2 linked regions of the Cricetulus griseus genome follow. The protein of the gene in region 2 binds, or shares a complex with, the protein of the main gene of each other region. Links are inferred from orthologs where the notes say so. Each region holds a gene or a part of one and is shown on either strand. Other genes may lie near its edges.

Region 1 (4,162 bases), on a different chromosome or scaffold from region 2:
CCAGGGGCACCTCGTGTGCTTCCCACGCTTTTTGCTATTTCTCACCTCCCTGACACATCTTCTCTCCTGGACTTGGGGGTCTGTCCCAGCAGTGCCACTCCACTCCTGGCTGTGGGAGCTCTGTCAAGGCCCTTGTGGGCCTCTGTTTCTCCATCTTTGAGAAACTTCCCAATAGTTGAGTTATCCCACATTTTAATGACTTTGGGGATGGGATTAGGGGGCTGGGGGTGTAGAGGAGGAATGAGAAACACCACAACATGGGTGGAGGATCTCAGAGCTTGCTTTCCCACCACCCTGGAGGAGTGGAGATGTGCCTGACTGATTATGTCAAAGCCAGGCCCATATTCAGTGTTGGGGAAGATATCAGCCCGCCCCCCCTCCGCACCCCTGAAGTCGTGGTGGAAGGGTCTTCCGCACCACTCAAGCCCTCTCCTTCCCTAAGATATTGGCACCTGGGCTGAGGGAGGCCAGGGAGGCAGCTCCACGTCAGCACAGCCGGTGTGGAGCATCTCAGACAATGAGCGCAGTGTGCAGAGAGCCGGGAGGGCTTGGCAGAGGCCAGGAAGCTCCTGGGGCCAGGCGCAGCTCCCCGCCCCCACGCCAGACAAAGAGCGGCCTGGGCCTGGGGAGCTGGCGGCCTTCCCGCCACTTGGGGCGCCTGGGGGGGGCTCTCGGGCGGGGGAGGCGGGGGCTTTGTCTAACTCCGCCACTGCCACCGCCGGCCAGGCCGCAGCTTGGCAACTCAGTGAGCAGGAGGCAGGGCTGGAGGGCGTGAGGGATGATGACAGGGAAGGCGGAGGAGCCACTGTGAGAGTCCATCTTGGATGCAGATGGCAGGGGAGAGCAGGGCTTTCTGCAAAGTAATACTGGCAAGCGGGCGGGCGGGCCCCACCAAAATGCCGGACACCTTAAGACCCCGCTCCGCCTCTGGCATTCGTCATTAGAAAAAGAACTTGAGCTGAATACAGGTGCTAGCAAGCCCAGAACAGGGCTTCAGAGTCCCAGGGGCTGCCTGCCACTGTGACCCACAACCCCAAAAGGTCCCAATTTTTGACCCTGGGGCAACTACCCCAGATCAAGCCTGTCTCTGGCTTCCCACAGCCTGACAACGCAACCCACTAACCTTCCATCCCAGGCACTGACCAAGAAGGCTGGGAGACAAAAATCCTACCTGCCAACAAAGCCTGTCACCCAAAGGGGGTGGCACCATCTGGGGTGATACAGTGGCTGCATGCTTTGGGGGGCTCTGTGCCCACGTGTTTCAACTCTCCCAAGCTGGCACCGTAAATCCCAAAGAGCAGCCAGTGTCCAAGAAGTTTAAAAACACATGTCCAGGGCTTTTCGAGGTCCTCTAGAGGATTTTTGGAGTTCTAGAATCAACATTTCAACACAAGACCACCCCCAAGTTGTAAGTGCCGACATGGGTAGTATGTTTGACACAGCGACCATAACCAACTCGGACCCCAACTCCCACAGAAGGCCTTAGCTCTCCTGGCACCCCGTTATCTCGCGTCTGTTTCAGGGGGTGGTCTGTTCACAGCCAAATGTCTAGGGGGTTACTAGAGGGGACACAAGACCGGTGACCTATGAGCGCCACGGTTTCACACCCCTCGCCCCGGTTCCCTCGGGGTTCGGGACTAGCCCCTGCACAGCCGAAAGCTGTCTAGGAACTTTGCAGGAGTTTCCCGGAGGCGCCAGCCCCAGCGGGGAAGGGAGACCGGGTCCCCCGGGCTTCTGCAGAGCGGCCCTTGGGGCGCGTACCCACGTGGGGACTCCGAGATGGAGACCCGCGGGACCCAGCACGCCGCCCGCAGTGCCCACGAGGCCCGGACACTCCAACTTCTTTCCAGGGACCTCCCGAGGGCGTGGGGGATGGGGAGCCAGGAGCCGCTCCCACCCCCAGGCTGCGGTCCCCTGCCCACCCGCCGCCCGCGACCCGGGCCAGGCTCCCTCCTGGGGCCCGCGGCCACGCGGCCCGGCCCTGGCCTGTCCCGCTCCACCGACCCTCGGCGCCCCGCGCCTCGCTCCCCGCGCAGCCGGCCGCTCCCGCCTCCCGCCGGCAGGGGCCCCTCGCCGAGCCGCCCAAAAATCCTAAGGAAAGAAAAAAAAAGGGGGGGCTGAGGAAAAAAGCCTTCTTCGCCCCGCCGGCCGGCCGCCCGAGTTCCTTGCTTCCCCCGCCATCCGTGGCCGCTCGCACCCGGGCCCGAGCGCGCAGCCCCGCCGAGCTCCGGCGCACCGCGAAACTTTGCGGCACGGGCGGCGGGAATCATGGGCGGCGCGGCGGCTGAGGCGGCGCGCCGCGCTGCCCCGGCCCGCGGACATCCCCAACCACCACCGCCACCCGCGGGCAGCTCGCCGGCCTTCAGGCGCCGCGCGACTCGGGGAGCCCCGGGCCGAGGCCGGCAGCGCGAGCCCCCAACTTGGCGGCACTTTGCGCGCGCGCGCGGCCGCGCCCACTCACCGGCGTTGAGGGCGGCGGCGGGGCATTGTGCGCGGGTCAAGTTCGGCTTGTACGACATCCCCGCGGGCGGCCGGGCGCGCCCGGGCAGAGCCGGGCCAGGCGCGAGCGCGGCGGCGGCGGCGACGGCGAGGCCGAGGCCCGGGCCGGGCGGCCCCACGTCCCCGCGCCCGTCCGAGCGCCCACCGGGCGCCCGCGCACTTTTTGTTGTCGCCGGCTCGGGCCGCGCCGGCAAATATGGCCGTCCCTCACCCTGCCGCCGCCGCAGTATATCACCCATACATCGGGCGCGCGGCGCAGGGGCGGCCGCAAACTTTGAGCCCAGCCGGTGCTGGGCCCGGCCCCGAACCGGGAGGGGGCGGCGGGCGTCGAGGGGGCGGCCTCCCCGCGGCCGCGCCCCGCGCAGCGCGCCGCCCGCAACTTGCCAAAGTTTGGGGGGCTGCGGTCCCCGCGGCGCCCCCGCGGCGCCCCAGCCTCCCGCGCGCCGCTCATTGGCCCGCTCCTTCCTCTTTCTTAAACAGCCAGGCTGGATGGAAGAAGTACTTTTTTTTCCTGTGTCTCTTGACTGTGGGGGCAGGGATGGAAAATTACCTGGAGAAAATGGTGGCGATTGGGTTTTCGGGTTTTTTTTTTTTTTGGTGGTTTGTCTTATTTTTTTTATTTATTTATTTTTACTTGGACGTAGATCATTCCAGATGTCCATGTCTGGCTCTGTCCCAGAATTAGAATAACCCGTTCTTGACATTTATTTCGAAAAAAAAAAAAATGTCATGTCTCTGCCTGGATTAAGTGGGCTTTTTTTTTTTTTTTTTAACCCTTTGGGAACCCAAGATTCCTTTGAGACTGACAAAAGCTGGATGAAGAGACGCCTCCTCCTCCAGCAAATTCGCCCTCGCAGCATCCACAGCATTTGGCACAGGAACTCTTTGGGATTTTTCAAGGGAGCACCTACTGTGTGTCAGACACGGCTCTAGACGCTAAGGATTCAAGAATGAACTTGGCAAAGTTTCGACTCCCCGGAGTTTACACTCCATGTTTTAGACACCCCCCCTTCCCCACCCCACCCCATACACACTCCCACCCATCCTAGGAACTGACTGAAACGTCATCACCAAACGTATTTGGGATTTGATGAATAACCTTCCGAAGGTACTATATTTTGGAGTTCTGCCTGAATAGTAATGCTCATCAAATTACATAAAACGCCCACCCTTTTCTGTTGTTTTTAATCGCCATGGTTTGCAGGTTGGTTGGGCTTTTTTGATGTTTGTTTGTTTGTTTTTAATTAGTCATATTTAGACATGATCTGTGAATCTGTTGACAACGGCGTCAGCTTCTCTGCTAGACAAAAAAAAGGCACCACCACCGGGGTCTTACTCTCCCTTTCCCTTTGGGACTAAAGGTGCAGGGGAGGGGACCGCCTCTTCCCCTCCCACCCCCGCTCCACCAACACCCCTGCTAGCATCCTTAGAATTGCTCTGTCAAAGGCTTCTTGGTGACATTTTATCTTATAAAGAAATGAATGCAACCCATTCTACAATGGCTGATATAAGACGATATATATATATATATTATAAAATAATATATATAAAATATATATATTTTAAACGTTTTAGTAGTCAATTTTTGAAAGCAGAACATGGCATAAAATTAATTCCAATAATGTATTTAAACGACCGGATCCACAACAGGACAATTTCAATT
Region 2 (3,625 bases):
TGCTTGGTCAGGGTCACACCTACAAGTACACATCAACAACTGGTAACACAACTAGAGGAAGTGTAAAGCAGACCGAGAACAGAGAGTACACACAGACGGTATTTAGCACAAATGCTCAGAATTGTTCATATCTCTGCTTGGAAATCAGAGTGCTGCAGAGGGTAAACTCATGCAACCAAGGTGTGTTCCAGCCGCTCAGGACGCCTCACCCAAGGTCATATTCACAGTACAAAGCAAATGTCAATTGCTTCCTTTATAAGTGGCCCTTCATTTTATGTTAAGCAAATAAAGTTACTGTCAGGGCTGAAGGTGTGGTTCAAGGACAGAACACATTCTCAAGGCACTGGCTTCGATCCCTGGCACTGCAGTGGCATCTTGCCTTGCCAGTGAACTTGTAGTGGTGGCCGCACCTTTTGGGTGTGGTTTCAGGTGCAGATGTGATCCATTAAGGTAGAGGAGGGGCTGGCTCACACTCTCTTTGGGTTTCGGAGAACATCAGAAGGGCAGAGACGGCATCTTCTGGAGCAGGAAGACCTCGGCGGTTATTTACTCTTATCTGTGTAAGTACTTCCCTAATAAATACCTATTTATCATTTATCTTGGGTATGGTGCACTCATTTAAACCACGCCTTCAAGTGGTGCCCAATTGAAGGCATAGGCATCAGTAGACAGATAAAACAACATTCCTGTCCCAACAGTTCACTCATGATTTTCCACTTACAAAGTCCTGACGGATGTCATTGAAGTCTTTGCCATATTTTTCCAGTGCTTCTTCAAATAAGCTGGCTTCAGAGGCCGACCACTCCTCCATCTCATCTCTGCACAGGACTGGCCCTCCAAGTGGCACCAGGACACTTATGGCACTGCTCAGGTCATAGCCGTGCCTGTACAGCGTATCCATGGCATGGAACTGGAGAGAAGACACACAGGAAAGAAAGGTCAAGTGGCCTCGTATACCTGCAAGCCAGCGAAAACCGGAACACTGAATGCAGGATATGCATAATTAACGGTATCTTTAGTATTTCCTTTTAAATAGCAAAATCAAACAGCCAATCACCATCAAATGATTGCTTTAGGAGAATACTATCTGGTAAGAGAATGCTAAGGTGTTTTAAAAATAATCCATTTGGAATAGCAACAACTATGAAGATTCAAATGCTCAAAATATTCAATTAAGAACACAATCAATTTTACCTCAAGATTTCATTTACTTAAAAATACCCAAGCCACTTCAGTTACTGTGGAATAATCTCCACTGACCAAGGAAAAACATAATATGTGTGAGAGAGAAAAAGTATTGTATTAAAAGCATTGGTTCAAGTAAGAGAATAATGCACTATTAATAAGAGCAAGAGATGAAAAGAAAAAACAGAATAGAGCATCATATTAAAGCAAAACTATATATTTGGGCCAACGAGATGGCTCAGCAAGTAAATGTGCTTGCTGCCAAGGCTGACAACCTGAGTTCAATTCCCCTACCCACATGGTAGAAGGAGAGAATGGATTCCCAAAAGTTGTCCTCTTGGCTCCACGTGCACTCCATGGCACACATATACTCACATACACACAAGTTCACACAAAATAAATAAGTAAAAAGAATACATTTCATATTAAACACAAAACAAGCAACATTGCAAATCCGAGTTCACATGTAACTTGATTGAGACTTTGGGAAGACCAAGAACAGATGATCAGGCATGCTTAGAGCAGCCAGGCCAGTGAAGGTTTCTGTAGACCCTAAGGAAGGGTGATTTGAAAGGGGGCAGAGATTAGGACATATGAGCAGGAGGGTGTGGTAGTGTTTTCCCGGCAGGCACCAAGTGCTGGGCTTGATTCCCAGATCCCAACCCTGACCAGCAGCAGATAAAAAACTTTTGTAAGTTTATCTAGAGAAGAGTCCTTTATCTGTGTGCACGACGTTTATGCATACCAAGAAAACTTCGGAGTAGAACAGTCAGTCTGTCCATCCGTCCATCTGTCCCCGTCCCATCCCCACCCCCTACCCTCGCCCACACACACACACAGAGGCTGGCAAGGTGACCCTACTTCTGTGTCTGTCCCCACCACACACACAGGCTTCAGAGGACATGAATGCCAAGGCTTGCATCTTTTACACCATCACATGTGTCAATCATCTAAAACATCACAAATGGGCATGACGTGGTGGAGCACACATTTAATCCCAGCACTTGGGAGCCACAGGCAAGCTATCTTTGAATTCCAGCCAGCCAGGGCTACACAGTGAGAGCCTGTCTCCCAATAAACCAAATAAAAAAATAAAAAAAAAGCATTAATTAGCCATGTAGTGGTGATGCACACCTTTAATCACAGCACTTGGGAGGGAGTGGAGGTGGTTCTATGAGTTCAAGGCTAGCGTGATCTACACAGAAAGTTCTAGGACAGCCAAAGCTACATAGAGAAGCTCTGTCTCAAAACAAACAACAACAATTAATTAAAATATATATTTACAGCTGGATATGGTAGTACATGTCTATAATCTTAGTATACTCAGGAGTGAGGCAGGAGGATTACATATTTGAAGCCAGCCAGTGAAATCCTACAAGGGTGAATTTACACTGGGAGACATTAACCAACATGGGTGATTATGGACACAGAAACTGTGTTGACAAAGCCAAAGGCGTCGGCAACTAGTACAGATCTGTTTAGTAACTGGTTGAACAAGGTTTTTGGCATTAGCTTTAAAACCAATCTCTGGATTTCACAAAACAAAAGTCGAAATGTCATTACCAGTTTCCCTTGACAGTCACAGTTTGGGCCGATGTTTGAGGTGGTCATTTATTGCAGGCATCGGTGGTGGGGCAGCATTCTCTGACAGAAGCCCTCTTTGCCACACCACAGTTTCAGGATGCTGGCCCTGCTCTTGCCTCCTGCTCACACCCTGCCAAGTGATGAATCTGATTCTCTAACTACCCTCACCAAATAGACCCTGTGATTTAACTGTTTCTTTTATCTTCACATCTGAGCCCTCTTTCTGACTATCTCATAATGAAAACAGAAAGAAAGATCAATAGTATTTAGGGATCCTTTCAACTAAGGATAGGGCCATAGACTGTTACTTTGATGTCCTAAATTGACAACAGGTAATACAATAAAACAACAACAAAAACCTAAAAGACTAGGTAGTATTCAAAAGCCAAATCCACCATTTGGGATGCGGAGGCAGGAGGATAAGGAAGTCAGTGTTGTCCTTGAATATATTAAGCCTGTCTCAAAAAACCAAAAACAACAAAGTCAATAATTACACAAGGGCTCGAGCATAATTCAGTGCCAGATTTGCTTGATGTTTGATCCTCAACTCCCCCTCTAAAAAGTTAACTGTGATGCTGAAACAACTGACCTGAGCAAGTGGGAGCTCATGGACACCAGTCTGACAACTGGAGAACTATCATAGGACCAAACCAGGCCCCCTGATTGTGGGTGTCAGTTAGGAGGCCTGGGCAGTTTATGGGGCTTCTGGTAGTAGAGATTATATATATTTCTGGTTTTTCGAGACAGGGTTTCTCTGTATTGTTTTGGAGCCTGTCCTGGAACTTGCTCTATAGACCAGGCTGGCCTCGAACTCACAGAGATCCGCCTGCCTCTGCCTCCCAAGTGCTGGGATTAA

What was found. The genes of interacting proteins can lie anywhere in the genome.
Region 1: Mta3 (region 2) and Cdk2ap1 share a complex: the UniProt entries of both Homo sapiens proteins name them as parts of the nucleosome remodeling and deacetylase (NuRD) repressor complex. The link is inferred for Cricetulus griseus from reciprocal best matches to the Homo sapiens genes MTA3 and CDK2AP1.

The regions. Positions count from the first base shown.
Region 1 is NC_048597.1:104,074,162-104,078,323, forward strand, and holds the start of Cdk2ap1 (cyclin-dependent kinase 2-associated protein 1), read right to left. Parts: upstream 2,833-4,162; 5' UTR 2,739-2,832; coding exon 2,462-2,738; intron 1-2,461. UniProt on the Homo sapiens protein: Inhibitor of cyclin-dependent kinase CDK2. Also acts as a component of the histone deacetylase NuRD complex which participates in the remodeling of chromatin.
Region 2 is NC_048598.1:85,391,935-85,395,559, reverse strand, and holds part of Mta3 (metastasis-associated protein MTA3), read right to left. Parts: intron 911-3,625; coding exon 722-910; intron 1-721. UniProt on the Homo sapiens protein: Acts as a component of the histone deacetylase NuRD complex which participates in the remodeling of chromatin.